Drosophila melanogaster: one gene and its partners. The protein of the gene in region 1 interacts with the protein of each later gene in a pairwise test. Each region holds a gene or a part of one and is shown in the gene's direction. Other genes may lie near its edges.

Evidence for each region.
Region 2: the proteins of B-H2 (region 1) and CrebB interact in a two-hybrid assay, tested with the Drosophila melanogaster proteins (one large-scale study listed by BioGRID).
Region 3: the proteins of B-H2 (region 1) and FoxP interact in a two-hybrid assay, tested with the Drosophila melanogaster proteins (one large-scale study listed by BioGRID).

The regions. Positions count from the first base shown.
Region 1 is NC_004354.4:17,312,892-17,317,603, forward strand, and holds the start of B-H2 (BarH2), read left to right. Parts: upstream 1-1,689; 5' UTR 1,690-1,978; coding exon 1,979-3,020; intron 3,021-4,712. UniProt on the Drosophila melanogaster protein: B-H1 and B-H2 are regulated by members of the wg signaling pathway; wg and dpp. B-H1 and B-H2 are coexpressed and functionally required in R1 and R6 receptor cells and primary pigment cells for normal eye development.
Region 2 is NC_004354.4:18,369,160-18,377,019, forward strand, and holds CrebB (Cyclic-AMP response element binding protein B), read left to right. Parts: upstream 1-1,824; 5' UTR 1,825-2,023; exon of another isoform or gene 2,024-2,447; intron 2,448-2,871; 5' UTR 2,872-2,973; coding exon 2,974-3,273; intron 3,274-3,874; coding exon 3,875-4,054; intron 4,055-4,127; coding exon 4,128-4,296; coding exon of another isoform or gene 4,297-4,538; exon of another isoform or gene 4,539-4,937; intron 4,938-6,089; coding exon 6,090-6,227; intron 6,228-6,683; coding exon 6,684-6,892; 3' UTR 6,893-7,658; downstream 7,659-7,860. UniProt on the Drosophila melanogaster protein: Isoform E is a PKA-dependent transcriptional activator. Isoform J is a direct antagonist of activation by isoform E in cell culture.
Region 3 is NT_033777.3:9,725,484-9,732,640, reverse strand, and holds FoxP (forkhead box P), read left to right. Parts: upstream 1-1,768; 5' UTR 1,769-3,207; coding exon 3,208-3,746; intron 3,747-3,804; coding exon 3,805-3,982; intron 3,983-4,038; coding exon 4,039-4,216; intron 4,217-4,275; coding exon 4,276-4,320; intron 4,321-4,405; coding exon 4,406-4,482; intron 4,483-4,549; coding exon 4,550-4,651; coding exon of another isoform or gene 4,652-4,714; exon of another isoform or gene 4,715-5,023; coding exon of another isoform or gene 5,024-5,233; exon of another isoform or gene 5,234-5,490; intron 5,491-5,627; coding exon 5,628-6,071; 3' UTR 6,072-6,621; downstream 6,622-7,157. Other genes in the region: alphaTub85E (alpha-Tubulin at 85E), read left to right, coding at 1-362, 491-1,312; hyd (hyperplastic discs), read left to right, coding at 7,116-7,157.

The DNA.
Region 1 (4,712 bases):
CATGGTTTATTCAGAGGCAATACAAACTGTACCCAATGATCCCGGTCACGTCTTCGTTTTCCTGCTCCAGCCCGATCGTTTGTCAGGTCGTAAATGCTTGGGATATATCTATGATTACGATACTCTATTCCTGGAAACGTTTGGCGACAGGAACTCGGATACATACCAATGGCCAGTAATACCCGACAATTGCTGCCGTGAGGCCATTTTGAAAAGCTAACTATACAATAAACATGTGGCAGCGGGAGCATCCGCCTCCAGGCGCCAAAGACTGCCTCCTCGAGTAGCTCCTGCCCACCGGAGCACGCTTGTTAGTCCACAGGAATGAGGTGGTAGGAACCCCCAGTGGTATACAGCCCCCTCTTGGATAGCCACCCCCCCCCTGAGACCCATTCACTTGCACATTAGGCAGCAAATTGACATCGATACAAGAAGTAAACCAGAAGTGAGTGGAAAGAGAGGGCACTATCGCGTGCGACAGAGAGGAAAGCGTGCAGCATTTAACTGCTGCCAATTTACTGTTTAAATGCCAAACAAAAAGTGTTAACAAGCGCAAAAATAACAAAAGACACCAACAACAAAGTACGCAGAGCGAGAGGGCCCGAGGCGAGCCACAGGCGGCCAGCCCTTGGGCCAAAGCGAGACAGACAGATGTCGTGCCGGCTGCCTCTCGCTCGCACAAACCAGTTTAAGGGGGCGTGGCCTGGCCACAAAACAGGGTTGACAGCATCCCATCCATCCATCTTGCCATCCGGATATCTGTCCATCAGATACAACAGCAAAAGCAACATTAGAAGCAAAAGCAAAGGCGGCAGCTGCCCTGCTGCCATAATCGTGTTGAGTTTCAAGCTGCCATAAAAAGTTTATGGGAAGTCGTATTGAACAGGGAAACCTTCTAAAACAGTATGATTTTGCTACTGCTGGAGGCATATTGCATAAATGTTCTGTCATTCCTGTACAAACTATATTTAGTTGGAAAGTTAGATAACAAGTTATTAGTATATTAAAGATGCATGGCTACATATTTTTTAATAATACTCGCTATTATAATAAAAGTTTACCATTAACACTGTTCAAATTTTGTTTGAAAGCAGCTAAAATAATATGAAATAACCAACTGACCCCTAAGACTATATTTAACCCTCAAAGATAACGAACACGTTTTTGTTCAGATTTATAGAAATCAAATAAGTACAAATAACTTTTTATATAAATTGACAAGACTTAATAAACCCTATTTATTTAAGGATATGAAGTTAATTGCAATACTTTTTGTGCGGTTGTAGTTCGAAACAGCCAACTCCACCACGTGCCATAAAAATAACCGTTAGACGTGCGGCCATTGCCGGCGGAAAGTCACCACACCCGCCAACTTGAGTCCCGCTGATTGAAGCCTAATGAATGTCAATTGCTGCCAATTACGACCAATAAGTGCGGGCAATAAATGTGGGCAGCCGTGGGTGCGAGCGAGAGGCAGTCGCGGGGCGACAGAGAGGGAAACTCACCACACCGCCACTTGGCCAGGTCAATGAGCGAAAAAGAGACGACGACAGGTGGCAGCTGATGGGAAGCGGTGGCTCAACTGGTTTTTGCTGCCTTCTTGTTGTTGCTGCTGTTGCCGCTGCTGCTGTTGTTGCTGCTGCTGCTGCCAGTTGCTGTTGCTGGCAGCAAGTTTCAGTTTCGGTCGAAAGCCAAAGGCGAGCGGTTGTTGCTCCGCTATTGAACATCACAAAGTGTGCGCACCTCAGCGACATTTGCGTTAAAAACCCAGTTGGGCCAAGAAAACATTAACCAACGCAAGAGCAATCGAAAGCGGAGTTCAAGAACTTGTCAAGTTTAAGAAATAAGTGCGAGCAGCTACCAACAATTAACTGAAGAAGTGCTAAAAACTCGCGTCACCCATACATACATACATAGCTGTTTGTTTTTTTTCGGTGCAAAGTGCAGGTGCAGCAGCGGAGTCGTCGGCTAACCACACATGACCACAATGCCACCGGAAATGTCCGCAACAACGGCAGCTCCCGTTGGCAGTGCACCGAGTGCCACCGCTCATCATCCCGCTGCCGTCGGCGGCGGTATGCCGCGTCCAGCTTCCCCGGCCGTCGGCAGCAACACGACGACAGCCACGGCCACAACGGCGACGCGATCCCGCTTTATGATCACCGATATTTTGGCAGGAGCCGCGGCCGCATCGGCGGCGGCAGCAGCAGCGGCGGCCGCCTTGGCAGCCGCCTCTTCCGGCGGTGGGCGTGGCAGTCCGACGGACTCGGAGCGGGAGCAATCGCTGGTCGCCCAGCATCACCACCATCACCAGCAGCAGCAACAACACCATCATCACCAGCAGCAGCAGCAGCAGCAGCAACATCAGCAGGCTGCCCTGCAACAGTACATCGTGCAACAGCAGCAGTTGCTGCGCTTTGAACGGGAAAGGGAGAGGGAGCGGGAGCGGGAACACTATAGGGAGAGACATTCGCCGCCTGGCAACAATCCCTATGCCCACCACCCCATGCCGCCCCATCTGCTCGCCCACTTTCCGCCCGCCCACTACGCCGTGCTGCAGCAGCAGCAACAGCAACAGCAGCAACAGCAACATCCCCACCCGCATCATCTGCAGCTTGAGAGGGAACGATTGGAGGCACTGCATCGGCATGGCCACGGGCTGACCGGTGATCCTGCCCAGCACTTGAGCCACTTAAGCCACCTGAGCCACCAGCAGCACCATCCGCATCTGCATCATCCCATGCACGATGAGCGATCCCGGTCACCGCTGATGCTGCAACAATTGGGCGGTAACGGTGGCAATAACAACAACAATAACAACAACAGCAGCAGTGCCAGTAACAACAACAACAACAACAACAACAGTGCTAGTGCCAACAGCAACATCATCAGCGGCAACAGCAGCAGCAGCAACAACAACAATGGCAGTGGCAACGGCAACATGTTGCTCGGAGGACCCGGCAGCAGCATTAGCGGCGATCAAGCCAGCACAATCGACGACAGCGACAGCGATGATTGCGGTAAGTCGCTGATCATATATCATAAACATACAATGAATCTGTATAGCAATATGGTTTAAGCTGTATTTCAAGGATAAGGCTACATCGGGAATATATAAAGTATATATATATATATATAGCAGAAATAATTAAGTTGCTAACTAAAGGAAGAGACTAGTTCATGAGACAGACATACAGATTCAGATGGATCTTGAAGAATAGCACCAAGTGCGGAATATATGTATATGTATATAGACACTTTATTGCAATATCAAGTAATATGAGAAGAGCAAAGCGGGGATACATATAGAGAATATATATATATATATATATAGCAATATGATATTTGTGATATTTCAGGGACTGGACTGGATGGGAAAGTGAAATCTAATGAACAACTGATATTCAAAATAGCAAGAAAAAAGAAAGACAAGATATAATGCGAGATATAAATGTTTCAAAATACCAATCAAGGCTTTTTTATACGTGTTCCTGACGTACAAATTAAAAGCAATCAAAATCTAGCTAATATATATGTATTTAAGCTCTAGTAAATTTGCATAGAATATTAAAGGAAATAAAGGAAGCTAGTAATTATAGTATACAAATTGCCATTAAAACCAGTTCTATTTATAAACTTTACCAAAGTTCAGCTGTATTAGCTATTTTATTAAACGAAAAGGGCTTTTATGGCTATAGAGAATAGAAATTATTTCATAGTATGCACACCAATAAATGTTAGCTGATAAATTTGATTCGGTTGGTATTAATTTGAAACCCAAACGGTGGACTTTTGTTTATACACTGAAGGGGATCTCGAAACCAATTTACACCTATCCATCTGACCCCTGAGTTCGCACCACTTTAAATTTACGATTTTCCCCGCGACCGGGATATATCATATATTGAGTGCTAAGCGTGGTTGTTTTTCCTGTTGTCTTTGTCGTTTTTGTTGTGGCTGTTGGCTAATAGATAACGGCCAACAACAACCGCACCAACAACCACCGTAAATTGTGCGGCTCGAACGGGGAAAATGCTGGCTTGATAGGCGAAGACTCGAAAAATACAGGTGAGTTCGAGTCTGAGGCAGGTGTCTTAGGTTTTGTCTCTCACTCTCTCTTTCTTCCTCTACCTGTATATGTCTCTCTTTCTGTTTTTTCCTTTTCAATCCCCCCCCCCCCCCCTCAACTTATTGGCCAGATTAGCCAAGTGTTCGCTTATTTTCAACATATTTCCCAGTCAAAACTGTCAACAGAATACCCTTGACTGCCACGCCCCCCGCGTGCCGTCAACCTTGTTTTGCATGCAACAATCTAATTGATTTTGTTGCCTAGCTTTAGTTTTGCTTTTTTCCTCTCGTTAAGTGCTTTTAAACGATATGCAAATTATAACAAATTACTATTAAATAGCCGTAATCGTGCGTTTGCAATTGATTTGCAGTAATATAATTTAGAAAGGCCGAGAACGTGCACAAATATATATGTATGTATTTGAAAGAGCATGGAAATCAGAACAAAAGGTCAGAATGTTGAGTTTGCTACAAAAGATGTGTGTGTGTTTTTATTATAGATTTTTTACGAAATCCCAAAGGATGATAAAAATGAGTTTCCACTATTTTTGGATAACTAAAATGCCGAGTAATTTTAGTTATTTTAATAATTGCCCGGTCTCAATTCAGTTTTTTTTTTGTTAACGAGAAATTATAAGCCCCTA
Region 2 (7,860 bases), 1.1 Mb from region 1:
CAAATGAAGGTGTTTTTATTGGTTTCTCAGTATATCGAAATTCTATTCTAACTTTTTATTGGGGAATTTTTTAAGTTTTTTTTAACCGTTTCTTGTTTAGATTTCTGATTTTATCTCAAGAGCAAGAAAAAGCGGTTTGCCAAATATTAATATTTAAGCAACTATTCACGCAAGATAAAGTTAATAGAAACGACATTCTTTATTACCTTAACTATAGTTAGGCAAATTGCCCTTTTTTTGCTTATTATTATTTTAAAATTAATAACTTGAAAAACTATTTTTATTGATGAAGCAATAATAACTTAAAATTAACAGCTTTGGTTATGGTGTTTATAGTTTGAATTAATATATGAAATTTTAAAGTTGGGTTTAAATTATTGTGATACATTTTGAATTGAATTGAATTGAATTGAATTGACCGTAGTACAAGCAAAACTTCAAATGGAAATCGATCTTAATTTCTTTCTGTGTAGGCGGTGTGTATTTTGGTATGCAAGTCCGTTTTAACAGCCAAAACACAAGCCGCATATTTCAGCCAATTTATGGTCGGGCTCTCAACGGCTATTGTGCTGACCGCAGGTGTACTCAGTACATATGTATGTACATATGTACATATGTATGTATATATGTATATAAGTGTATTAGAAGTGTAATATGGGAACCGCATTTGCAATTCCTTTCTGCGGCCACCGGGCAAACTTCATTAGCCAGTGATGTCAGCTGGCGCGCGGAGGTAATGCGGATTTGGACAGTGAGTCAGTCCACGAGGTCGGTGGTTCAGACAGTCCGGCATTTGGGGTCCACAAGGGGGAGGGGTGAGGTGGGTGCTGGGTGATGGGTGGTGGGTGGCGAAGGGGCTTGGAGGCGTTTGAGGGTTCGTGCGACGTCGTAATTAATGGCAATTATTATGTCACTCAAAGGGAAGTCGATTGAAAAAGCAGCCTAAATAATGCAAATGGAATTGGAAATTATAATTCACAGAGGGAAAGTAAACGGGGGCACAGTCATTGCACTAATTAACTATTTATTGAGAGCCCGTTGCAGGCTTCAAATAATCTCGAGTCTGTTTTTAAGGCTTTAAGGTTTTTACGCCTCAAACTTTCCGGCTAGTTTTCTCGCGATGACGTCATGGCCAGCTCATGTAGCCAATAGTTATTCGGCTGTAAAGTAATTAGCCGCGAACATCATTTAGGCTAATTGTTTTTTGCACTTATGTGAGCAGGCTGTTTTTAGTGGTAGCGAAATAAAAAAAAGAGCAACAATTTTTTTCTGTGACCAAAGTTTCTAGTTTTTAGGCGCGCTAAAATCTGCGGTTCTATAAACTATTATGAAAAAGTAATTATTTTGCGATTGCTAATTGTTAGTTTTTAGTGCTACTGAACACCTCTTTTTGTTGAATTAATAGAATAACAATACAATTAGTGATTCATTAAACGGCCAACAATGGACTTGGAATTAATTTCGGTTACAAATGGAAAATAGAGATATGAAGTTGAAATAATTTACATACTTGTAGATGAATAAATAAAACCGAGGAAAATTGATTTACAACCTTCATCTAAGTATTAAAAACTTAAAAAAAAAACCATAACAAAATGAAGTTTTAAAAGTTCCCGCAGTTATAGCCAAGCTCCGCACCACGAGCTTAGCCAAGGTTTCAACCGGTGTGGTAGTGTGGAGCCTTATTGTTGCTGTAGCTTGTTGCTCATTCCGCAGCCAGGGTCACACTTTATCGAGCAGTTTTCTGTGAAACAGCCGATGTGTGACATCGATATCAAGCAAAACATCGAAACACATCGCCCCAAAACATCGCTGTTGGATGCATCGATGTTATTTTACATCACTAGGCGAGCGAGCCAGCAATAAGCGAACGATTTTTGCGCAAAAACGGTCTTTATCAATAAATCGCTGCGCACGATCGCATTGCCGTGGAAAACGCGTACATTGTCGTTCGAAAGCCGCCAAGCCAGCGTCTTTGCCGCCAAAAGAAACGCGTTTCGGTGCTGCAAATAGAAAAAAGAACGTAAGCAACGATAACAACAGGCAGTGAGAGCGAGCGAGAACGGGAGAGAGAGAGAGCGAGAGAGTGTTGTGTGTGTGCGTGCTGCCAACTTGTCGCACCAATTCGCTGCTGTGCTTAAGTGTGCGTGTGTGTTCTGTGGGGTTCTCCCAAAAAGAGCAAACAAATACGAAACCTTTGCGCGATGCCATTCGAAACGTATCTGAAGTTTTAGGGTTCGAACTTCGATTCGCTTACTCTGCTGCTTTATACATAAATATTTATTTGGTTGGACACCGCGACTTTTCAACAAGTTGCCAGCGCAGCGTGCAACGCGCGTACACACACACACACGCGCCCAGGAAGGAGTGAGAGAGAGAGAGAGTGAGCAACGGCAACAACAACAAAAGCCTCTCAGCAGCAACGTTTTTAGTGATGTCATCAGAAAGTAAGTTGATTTTTTCGCTGTGTGCTGTGTGTTTTTCTGTTTTTTTTGTTGCCTCTTGGCACACACACAAACGCACACGCACACAAGCGCGCGCAACGTTGTCATGACGTCATTCAACCGAAATACTCACGACTCGGTGTTGTTGTTATTGTTGCTGTTGTTGTTGTTTTCCTTTGGGGGAACTTGAGTTCCATCAGTCAGCAATCGGCACCACAGCCACAATATAATCATCGTCATCACAACGCACACTCGTCATCGGCCCAAAACAAAAACGAGCCCATGCCAATCCCGCCCAGAAACAGAAATTGAAACTTAAACTGAAACGGATTCCGATCTGAATCGGTATCACAAACTGGATGACAAATTGATAAACCGTAAAACTGACAGCGTAATCCAAAAGCAATCCAATCCAATCCAATTGTAGAAACGTCTTCAAGCTGGCCAAATTGAAGCGGAAACGGTAGCCAAACTGAAGCACTTGTCGGAGAGCGTCTCGGTGCTGCTGAAGATCGCCAGGATCGGCAACATGGACAACAGCATCGTCGAGGAGAACGGCAACTCGTCGGCGGCATCGGGCTCCAATGACGTGGTCGATGTCGTTGCCCAACAGGCGGCGGCAGCGGTGGGCGGCGGCGGTGGAGGAGGAGGAGGCGGCGGCGGTGGTAACCCCCAGCAGCAGCAACAGAACCCACAAAGTACAACGGCCGGCGGTCCAACGGGTGCGACGAACAACGCCCAGGGAGGCGGAGTGTCCTCCGTGCTGACCACCACCGCCAACTGCAACATACAATACCCCATCCAGACGCTGGCGCAGCACGGACTGCAGGTGAGCATTTGGGGACCGGGTGCTTGGTGTCAACTGTCGAGTGTCAGGTGTTACGGATCCCAGCCAGAAGTGGCTACCAAGGATGTTAGTGCAGAAGCACTTCAAAGCCTCCTTTGGTATGGGAACTGAGTGTAGATAGGGATAGTTATTACCGGAAATAAGGCAGCTTAGTGTTCTTTAACTAATAGCAAACAAACAAGTACAATACTGTTTATTATAAAGTTTTATAAAGTTTACTGCATAGATTATGCATCCATCATTTTTCAATCATTTCAATACGTTTCTTATTCTACATCCCTAAAATCGATTTCGTTTACCAATGTATATATTAAATGGGGTATGACTATATGGACTACATAATACATATAATAAATCTTTATAGTTAAGCTTCACAAAAATTGATATAGACCATATAGCTGTTATTAGGATGTCGACTACACTTACACATTCACAGGACTTTTAATTTTATTCATTAGAATATCGAGAATTTGCGGTGTTTGTTAGTTACACTACAGCCTACAAAACTTACTATGTCAGTCCCGTTGAGGCCAATAACCCTGACCGCGAGCGTTTCTAATGTAGTGACCTTCTATATCCGCAGGTGCAGTCCGTGATACAGGCCAATCCCTCGGGAGTCATACAGACAGCAGCTGGAACCCAGCAGCAGCAACAGGCGCTGGCCGCCGCCACAGCGATGCAGAAGGTGGTCTACGTGGCCAAGCCGCCGAACTCGACGGTCATCCACACGACGCCTGGCAATGCAGTGCAAGTGCGTAACAAAGTGCGTAGAACGGGGAGCACGGAGCACCCGCCGAACCGAACTCTACTAATGAACTCGATCACCTCGCACACAGATCCCTCCAACCTTTCCGTGTAAGATCAAGCCCGAACCGAACACGCAGCACCCGGAGGACAGCGACGAGAGTCTGTCGGACGACGATTCCCAGCACCACCGCAGCGAGCTGACGCGACGGCCGTCGTACAATAAGATCTTCACCGAGATCAGCGGTCCGGACATGAGCGGTAAATCCGGGGGACGATCTCTCCACCAGTCACACACCCACTCGAACACATCTCTGTCGCTCTTTAAACCACCACATCGCCTAACAATCCAATGCATCGTCGAGCTGATCGCCACTCATCGTTCATTTCACGATGCACTTGCGCCTGGCAATCTTTCGACCATTCCCAGCAACTCTCATAACGCTGGGGAATCGGTCAGTCCATCAGACACCATTCCATTCTCAGTGTTTGTAACCCCATGATCGATCACCTTTCCCGTTCATCTTGTACAGTAGCTGTTGGCTAAGTAACACTGTTAACACTCGTTGTAGTGCGCTTTAGCAAATGATCCATATCGAAATGATTAGACGAGAGGAATGTACTGTAAAATTATACTCTTGCCACAAAAAGTGCATTTACAATTTTATCAGAAAAGTCTAAGGTCCAAGTTGCTCACTGGATCCTTATGAAATCTATATTGTAAATATACAAAAGGAAAACATTTGCAACATTCATTACGTTGCTATTGTTTATAAAGCAATATATGGTTCTCCTAGTGCAATAAGATTCTCTAGCCAAAACCTTGCCCAGCTAAAAAGTAACGAAAATGTGGACAGAATAAAAAAAAAGCATTAAATATACATTTCCGAAGCTTTCCATTTGAAACTATTATTTTCAACCAGAACAGAATAGAGGGTTGTTTATTTTCTTACATAGTTTCTTAAAAATATAATGAAACAGAGGAAAGAGGTAGAAACTAATGGAACCCAGTTAGCTAACATTGTGTTTTTGTTTGGATCTCAACTGTATTTGTACATACAACACATAGATTGTGAAGGACTGCCAGCCTTGTCCTTTGTACATCATTAGGAATGCCATTTAGGGCAGCCGTACAAGCGGGAACCCCGCCCCTTTCCACCACCCCCATTATCATTTAGTTGATGTTGTTGTTGGTGTTGCTTTAACGAAGTGAAAATAATGAAAGAAAAACAAAAGGCCGGAAAACTTGGCCCGAGAAGGAGCAGAAAAAGAGGACGCGTTGTAGAGATTCCACGATTTTCCAATTCTCCCCTGTAAATAAACCTCTCACTCGCACACACACACACTCGCGCACAACTTCACCAACTCACACACACACTCACACATATGTACATAGACAGGGAGGGAAGACAGCAAGAATAATGATTAATATTTACAATAATTTAAGCATTTGAACTATTGCTGCTGTCTTCTTGCCCACAATTCTCTATCTCTCTCTCTATCGCCCTCCCCTCTCTCTCTCTTTCGCCGCCTCTCTGTCGTTGTTGTTGCTGTAATCGCTGTTGTTGTTGTTGTTGCCGTTGTTACACACACAACCCATTATGCCAAATATTAAATAGTAATGAAGAAGTACAAGCAAACGTCTCACCTAACAGTACTTTAACCGTTAATCAAAAGCTTTTCTCCACTCTCTTTGACTAACCAATCTACCTATCTCGCTCGCTCGCTCGCCGTTCTCGCTCGCACACACCACTCAAGTTCATAAACCAACCAACAAAAAAAAACCAATCCGAATTTTCAAAAGCTTCCAATTGAAAACTGAAAAATGGAAAATATGTTTTCTTATAATTTTTTTATTGTTGTTTTTTTTTCATTGTTTTCTTTTCGAACGCCTTCCTCCACCCAACCCACAAAAATAAAAAAACGATATATAAAATTCGATAATGTTCTGAACAACAACTGCAACAACAACAACAACAAACGACAATCAAAACCCCAAACCGAACTCGAATCGGAATCGAACTCGAATCAAATCGAATCGAACCCCATCCCAGGCGCATCGCTTCCCATGTCCGACGGCGTGCTCAATTCCCAGCTGGCGGGGACCGGAGCGGGGGGCAATGCGGCGAACAGCTCCCTGATGCAATTGGATCCCACGTACTACCTGTCCAATCGGATGTCCTACAACACCAGTAATAGCCTCGCTCCAAAACTAGCCTTTAGTTGCGACTTGGCAGGACCACTCGTAAATCGAACTGGAATCGAGGGTCTATCAAATTGAAGTTATCGAGTTATCGAGCTGAATGTAGGCGATGAATCAGCGTCCATGGAACTGCTTCATCGCCTAACTGCAGCATATGGACTCAAATGATTGTAATTGATAACTTTGATAATGCTCCATTCCATGCTGGCATTATTTTCGTTTTTATTCAAATTGTTTAGTTGAACATGGATGGTGTGTTCAATCATTTTTGCATGCAATTTGTGTTGACATCGAAGTGAAACCAAATCCAAACCATCAATGACTATGAAATCCAGTTCAGTTCGAGTTACAGAGAGTTCCGCTTTGGGAGATGTGCACACACACATCGCTTACAGCCAGCTGAATGACTGATTATCCAATCCTTGAAAACTTTTTCCTTTTGCAGACAACAGCGGGATAGCGGAGGATCAGACCCGTAAGCGCGAGATCCGGCTGCAGAAGAACAGGGAGGCGGCGCGTGAGTGCCGGCGCAAGAAGAAGGAGTACATCAAGTGCCTGGAGAATCGAGTGGCGGTGCTAGAGAACCAAAACAAAGCGCTCATCGAGGAGCTGAAGTCGCTCAAGGAGCTCTACTGTCAGACCAAGAACGATTGAATGTGGGCGGGGCTCTGGCGCCGCCTGCGCCTCCGCCTCCAGTTACGGCTACGGTTACGGCTACGGCAACGGTTACGGTTACGGTTACGGCGATCACTGCGCTTCGCTCCGCTCTGTTCTATTCCGTTCTGTTCTGGACAACAATGGTGGATCGATCCTTGCCGCTGGCCGGTCGCATATCATGATTTCTATACGCATGGGATGCTGCATGTGGTAGCGTGTACATTAACTGTGGGGATCGTGTTGTTGTTGTTGTTGGGATGCAGACGGGCCGAACCGGACCAAACCTAATCGAACCGAACCGGATGGAAGGGACAGAGGGTCTATCTGCCGGACACACAATGTAATTATGTTTGTAATTTAAAGATGTAATATTATGTTTACGATTTAGTTTATGCCCTAGTTTACTCGCTAACTTAACGATACTGCAGTTTACCTACGAACATGTGTTTCCGTAACCTAAGACCTTTCACCACACCCCCCCGCATGCACACCTTACCTTACCTTACCTTACCTATTGTAATTAAATTTTTTGTTTTACCTAATTCGTAATCGATGCAGCAGAACGTGCGTGTCTAGCGAAAGTGTTTTTTCTTAGCGAATTGTTGTTGTGTGCCCATATGTCAGGATATAGTCAACCAGCAGGTTGCCCAATCCACCAGAGTCCTTTCTAGATGGGTTTTCTGGGCCTACCAAATTAAAATTGTTCAAAAGTCGCTAGTTTCACTTGATTTACATATGCGTGTGCGTGTAGTATGTATATATGCGTGTGTGCCGGCCAATGTGTATCTGTAGAATTAGTCTTAAATCGAATGGATGAATTGATTGTCTGGGATTTGGGCATGGAGTTAAATATTCAAACACTTTGTTACGTAATTTTAAACGAACCCTCTCCGCTCCCAAAGAACCTGGTTAAGCAGACAATTCTGCACGCTACCGTGAATCCAGTTCGGAATCGAAAGGGAACG
Region 3 (7,157 bases), on another chromosome or scaffold:
CTGGAGCTGGTAAGCATGTGCCGCGTGCCGTGTTCGTGGATCTGGAGCCCACTGTGGTGGATGAGGTGCGGACAGGAACCTACCGCCAGCTGTTCCATCCGGAGCAACTGATCACCGGTAAGGAGGATGCGGCCAACAACTATGCCCGCGGCCACTATACCATCGGTAAGGAGATCGTCGACGTGGTCCTGGACAGGATTCGCAAGTTGGCGGATCAGTGCACGGGTCTGCAGGGATTCCTGGTCTTCCACTCCTTCGGCGGCGGCACTGGCTCTGGATTTACGTCGCTGCTGATGGAGCGCCTGTCCGTGGACTATGGAAAGAAGTCAAAGCTGGAGTTCTCCATTTACCCAGCACCACAAGTATGTCATTTGCATATGGATATTATATCTATTGCTTGAGCATTTATAGAAGACCAATTAACATAATTAGTAAAAGACATGGGAAATTAGTCTTCGAAAGGCAATCTAATAATCGAACTTCCTGTTAGGTGTCCACAGCTGTGGTCGAGCCATACAACTCGATCTTAACCACCCACACAACGCTGGAGCACTCGGACTGTGCGTTTATGGTTGACAACGAGGCAATCTACGACATCTGCCGGCGCAACTTGGATATCGAGCGACCCACCTACATGAATCTCAATCGCCTAATTGGCCAGATCGTTTCCTCCATTACGGCCTCGTTGCGCTTCGATGGCGCCCTGAATGTGGATCTGACCGAGTTCCAGACCAATTTGGTGCCCTACCCACGCATTCATTTCCCACTGGCGACATACGCTCCCGTCATTTCCGTGGAGAAGGCCTACCATGAGCAACTGACCGTGGCCGAGATCACCAATGCCTGCTTCGAGCCGGCCAACCAGATGGTCAAGTGTGATCCGCGTCGTGGCAAGTACATGGCCTGCTGCATGCTCTACCGCGGTGATGTGGTGCCCAAGGATGTGAACGCAGCCATTGCCACCATCAAGACCAAGCGCTCTATCCAGTTCGTCGACTGGTGTCCCACGGGCTTCAAGGTGGGCATCAACTATCAGCCACCCACCGTTGTTCCTGGCGGAGATCTGGCCAAGGTGCAGCGCGCCGTCTGCATGCTGTCCAATACCACTGCCATTGCCGAGGCCTGGGCCCGTCTGGATCACAAGTTCGATCTGATGTACGCCAAGAGGGCCTTCGTCCACTGGTACGTGGGTGAGGGCATGGAGGAGGGCGAGTTCGCCGAGGCTCGCGAGGATCTCGCTGCCCTCGAGAAGGACTACGAGGAGGTAGGCATCGACTCCACCACCGAACTGGGGGAAGATGAGGAATACTAGAGAAAACGTTGTCAACAAATGATACAGCCATTACAACTTTATAAACATCACTTTCTTTCTACCAAATACCAATGCATAAAACAGTTTCGCAATAAAACAGTTTAACACAATTGCTTAAAATGGCTTATTTAAATGGGAAATATTCGTCTTTAGATGGAATTTAACTTTTGTGTTAATAAGAATAAAACTTTCTCATATAAGGAAATTGGTAAATCATATATTTATTGGAAATTACCCCTCCGTAAAAAACCCTACTTATCACTTTCTTATTGCTTTAAATATTAATATTAATTGGGCAAATTAATGTTGACTTTTAAAAGTTTTTAATTTTTGAAATCGTTACGTGTAATGGAGCCTTAGGATGCATTTTGAAACGCATGCGCAAAAATGTGTACACATATTTCTAGCAAATTCAGTAGTCGTAGACGTACCTTTTCAGGAGTAGCAGCGAAAAATATTCTTAAGATAGTTTTTAAGTTTAAATTAATTTTACATATATGTGAAAAGTTGTATTAAAAAATTCGCCCGTTATTAAATATAATATTGTTCTTTGGAAACCTCTGTGAATGTTATTTAATTGTAAATGTACATGCAAAATTGTATCCTCTTTTGTCTGCAAAATTGTATGTGCATGTATGTATTCGCAAAATTTAAGTCTAGTCTGTTAAGTTAATTAAGATATTGTTGAGTAGTCTAGGCAGACAACTTTATCTTAAAAGTCCCAGTTTAAACAGTTCTTATACAGAAATTGTATGATATGTATACATATGAAATATGAATATTTTATTTACCCATATATACCCCTTGGAATAATCAATGCCCCCAACGAATACAGACAATGCAAATCTACACAATACCAACAATATATTTATCTTTATTCGCCTTTACACAAAAAGCTTATGTATATCGAATATAATACTATTTTTTCAGGATCTTCGAATGTGATGAAAACCATACCTCTCTCTTCTCTTTTATATCTTTCTTCTTTTCCTATAAAACATTTAATACTTACATATTTCACCATTTACATTTATTCTTATTTTAGGTGGCTATATAATTTTTCATTACAGGAATTTGATTAAAACAATCGTAAGATGGTCCTATCTGCAAAACTCATATACTCTTCCATTTAAGTTCATCCTATAGCCAAAACGTCCGTCCGTTTTTATATCCGTTTGTCCGTCCGTTTGTATGTCCTTCCGTTTGTATGTCCGTTTGTCCGTCCGTTTGTCCGTCCGTTTGTCCGTCCGTTTGTCCGTCCGTTTGTCCGTCCGTTTGTCCGTCCGTTTGTATGTCCTTCCGTTTGTCCGACCGTTCCGTCTGTATGTTTCTTATGTTATGTATGTTGTATATGTTTCTTTTTAGCAAAATAAGATGTGTCTGGTTTCCTTGCCACCTATGCAATCCCCTTGTGAGATCTTAAACTTGTTATACGCCTAAATATGATAAATGCTTTCTATGAATAACCTTTATATTTACAGATTAACTGCACCGGATGACGTGGCATTTTATTTGTAACATATTTAAAATTAAATCAAACATTTAAAGAATGTTTAATTTAATTTACACTGAATTCATTTAGCACTGGGCCTTTAGTAGGGGTTAAATCTTATATGCGCCAAGTTGTTAAATATTCATAACTTTTGGGGAAAGTATCATCTCAATGATAGTGCGGGAAAATTAAGCTGAAATTAAATAGGGCGTAATAAATAGAAATCCTTAAACTATCACTCTGATTCGGAGTTTTACAGGAATGGCGGCATATGAGTAAAGATAGTTTTATTGAAATGACTCCTAATGACAGACGAAAAAGAGATTATTTCTGTGTATTTGCATATGCCCATCTCTTGGGTAAAGGATCAATGGTAATGATTATAAATTTCAGTTTTAAAAACATGCATCGGATACATGACGACGAGTATTCCGAGGATGCCAAGGAATCGGACTTTAAGAGTTCGATTCAGAAGGAGATATCAGTGAAGTCGAGACACCAAATTTCCATACCAGACATATGCTCAGATGCTGTTAAGAACAATTGTTTTCCGCCGACTGGCTTTCTCAATAACTCGATCACCTTTGCCTCACATGTAGTTAAGTGCAGCTCACCGGCCTCGAGCATCGATGAATCCTCAACGGCGGCCCAGCAGCACGAATCCAATCCACACATGCATATACAGGGTCAGCATATGATGGCTCCCGTTCCCGATCTGGGTTTCTACAATGTGCCCGAGTTCATATCCGAGCAGGAGAAGCTCATGTTCTCCGATGCAGAGAGATTCTTGCGGTCGAAGGATAATGAGGTGTGCAACAATGATTTCAGCTATATGCACGATGAGTTCGCCATGCGGAAGTACTATCATCCGTTATTTGCTCATGGCATATGCCGTTGGCCTGGTTGCGAAATGGATTTGGAAGACATCACATCGTTTGTCAAGTAGGTGGAGTACAATTAGAGGTATGAAATAATTATATAGGGTATGTTATCTAACTAGGCATCTGAATACGGAACATGGTTTGGACGATCGATCAACAGCACAGGCACGGGTTCAAATGCAAGTTGTCTCCCAGCTGGAATCCCACCTGCAAAAAGAACGAGATCGCTTGCAGGCAATGATGCATCACTTGTATTTGTCCAAGCAGCTTTTGTCTCCCACCAAAATCGACAGGAAGGTAAGTCCCTTTTTATGTGAGTAAGTATTGGTATAATGAAAAGTTATAAATATAAGGACGTGCCCGGAAGAGAGGGAAAGTTTTGCCGGAGTCCGCTTACCGTAAATAGCATAGGCCGACCCATCCGACAAACAAATTCACCGAGTCCTCTGAATCTTCCAATGGTTAATTCCACCAACTTGTGCTCGATCAAAAAGAGAAACCACGACAAAAATACATTTTCCATAAATGGGGGTAAGTTTGGGAAAAATTTACTATTACTGTATAAAAATAATAATGGTTTTTGGATATAGGATTACCCTATATGCTTGAAAGAGCAGGTCTTGATGTGCAACAGGGTAAGTAAATTATGTAGACTGATCGTCTTGATGACTATTCGTCTTGTGCTTCTGGAAGACATATAATAAGAATTTAAATTTGCAGAAATCCATCGAAACAGAGAGTTTTATAAGAATGCTGATGTACGACCGCCTTTTACTTATGCTTCCCTCATAAGACAGGTAATTTTAAAAACCAATTTCCTAATATAACATTAATTTATTTTTTTTATATATATTTTATTTATAGGCTATAATTGACTCCCCTGACAAGCAGTTAACCCTAAACGAAATCTACAACTGGTTCCAAAACACATTTTGCTACTTCCGGCGCAACGCAGCTACGTGGAAGGTAAAATGCCCCATATATGTAAATCTTCTTTCCTCCATATTATCTATATATTATGCAACATAACTTTAATTTGAGTATTTATGCTATATGATATGATATCTATGATCTGATATGACCATTTGTCCGTCCGTATAACTCTCGTTTGTCCGATTGGCGTTCCTAGCTTGTCCGCTGTATATATACTATATACTACCTTTTCCACATTGTCCACTACTTTGCCAATATTTAAGAGTATAATAGAGCTAAATACAAGTGATATATAACAAGGTAAGCTACACAGGTCAGATCCTGTTTTATTCCATTTCCTTTTTATATGTCTTAAAATAATCAAATTAAGTTTGGCCTATGCTAACTGATAATATATATCATTAGAACGCAGTCCGGCACAATCTGTCCCTTCATAAGTGCTTTATGCGGGTTGAGAATGTGAAAGGAGCAGTTTGGACTGTCGATGAGATTGAGTTTTACAAAAGACGACCGCAGCGCACTGCTGGCATTGGTAACAATCTAACCGGTGCTACCAATTCGCCGGACACTAACTATTTTGTAGCCATGAACATTGGGTATGTGGGTCTCAAATAGTTTAATTCTACTCACTTTGCTCCAAACTCCTTCCGTTTTGCTCTGTTAGTAAATATACATATGCCATTGCATGCATGCTCCTATATCGAAATGATATAATATGACATTATACGATCTTTTTACAGCGCAAATTGTAAACAGTGATTCTAATCTCTTAGTGGTAGAAACCCAAAATGATGTCCGTCTGCTCATCGATCTGTCTGTCTGTCTGTCTGGAATTTAGCTGATGAAGATTATCCAGGATTTCGCGTGTTATGAAAAATGAAAATAAGAAGACCGAAGACAAATGAACTAACCTTAATATCTCAATGAACTTTTTCTTCCTTTCACGATAATGCAATTTCCTGTTTCTGACTCTTGATGGGGCTCTTGTTTTGTCCAACCAATCATAAAGAATGCGATTCGTACGAACCTTTCCTTACACAAGTGCTTTGTACGTTATGAAGATGACTTTGGCTCGTTTTGGATGGTCGACGATAATGAGTTTGTCAAAAGGCGGCACTTGTCGAGAGGGAGACCCCGGAAATATGAACCGTCCTCCTCCCCAAATTCATGCCAATCCGGCAATGGTGTGCCCACTGATAAGAATCCCTGCGACAATTGTACGCAACATTGCACTAGTTTGCCACCGGGTGCTGATAATCCTCTAGATTCCAATAATCCAAATGATTTAGGCAGAATTGGTTGTCTTCCCTATTGCGGTAGTGATGGTTTAAGTAAAGCGTCCAAGGACTATAGCAATATGGACTCGGGTATGATCGAAAGTAACAGCCACTTGACAATCGATGAATATTCTACTAATATGTACGAGAGTAGTGCCAATGAGCACAATCGATAAATAATATATCATTAACTATACATATATTTAGATGCATTGTCGAGTAATCTGCGTTTGGTAAGAAGGTTCGGATTCGGAAATTATATCTGTACATACACATGGTTCTATGTATAATTTCCCAAATAGAAATGAAAAAATACTTTTAAAATAAATTTCACTAATGCTATAAAATAAACGAAAGAACTACGTTAAATTATTAAAGCAAAATTAATGTGTTTAAACTTGCTTTAATAACTCCACTTATAACACGATTTTAATATACGAGTACAACATATATGAATATTTTCACTTTTCAGCAAGGGAGAAAACATTTAAAAGCTATAGCTTGATAAAATTTTAACAAAACTGTTTTAAAAGTCACAATATGATTTTTTTTTAAGGAAACTATTTTCAGGTATACCTTCTGTTAAAAATCTGGACCCTTGAGAGCTTTAGATTTGGAAACTCCTTAGTAAACGTATATGCTTTTCTGCTGACTTATCTAATTTCCTTCTAATTTAAGATCATTAACGATACTCAGTGACCTAAATAAATTCCTCAAATATACAACAAAGTGAACAAACTGAATTTTATTTCTAGTTCCTAAGCAAACGGTTTACGCGACGTAAAAGCGGTTAAATCGGCTTCTCAAAAGTTTGTCAATCAAAGTTTTCTACCAATTCATTATTTTAAAGCGGTCTTTAGTATATTTTAGTATATTCTATTGGAGATTTTTTGGACTGCCACTATTTAAGGAAAAACAACCGATAAGAATGGACGCATTCGTGAACTTCTGTATCTTAAATTTAATAAAATATATACAGCCTAAGTACACATATTGTAGTCAATGTCAATTTAATTTGAAAGTAAAGTTTTTGTTTACCAATAAATTTGTTTGGAGAATGTATCGATACCGTCGAATTTTCCGGCAACCATCGATACAGTCGGGCGGCATCGGTTTTCGTCCCAGCTCTAGCCAGTACGGTCACTCTGAAAGTCTCTCAACGTTTTGTGACATGAAAATTCAACGAGGACACTGTGTACATGAATAGTTGAAAAATTAAAATGGTTTCCATGCAATTTGTTTTGCAACCGCTACCGGGCTCG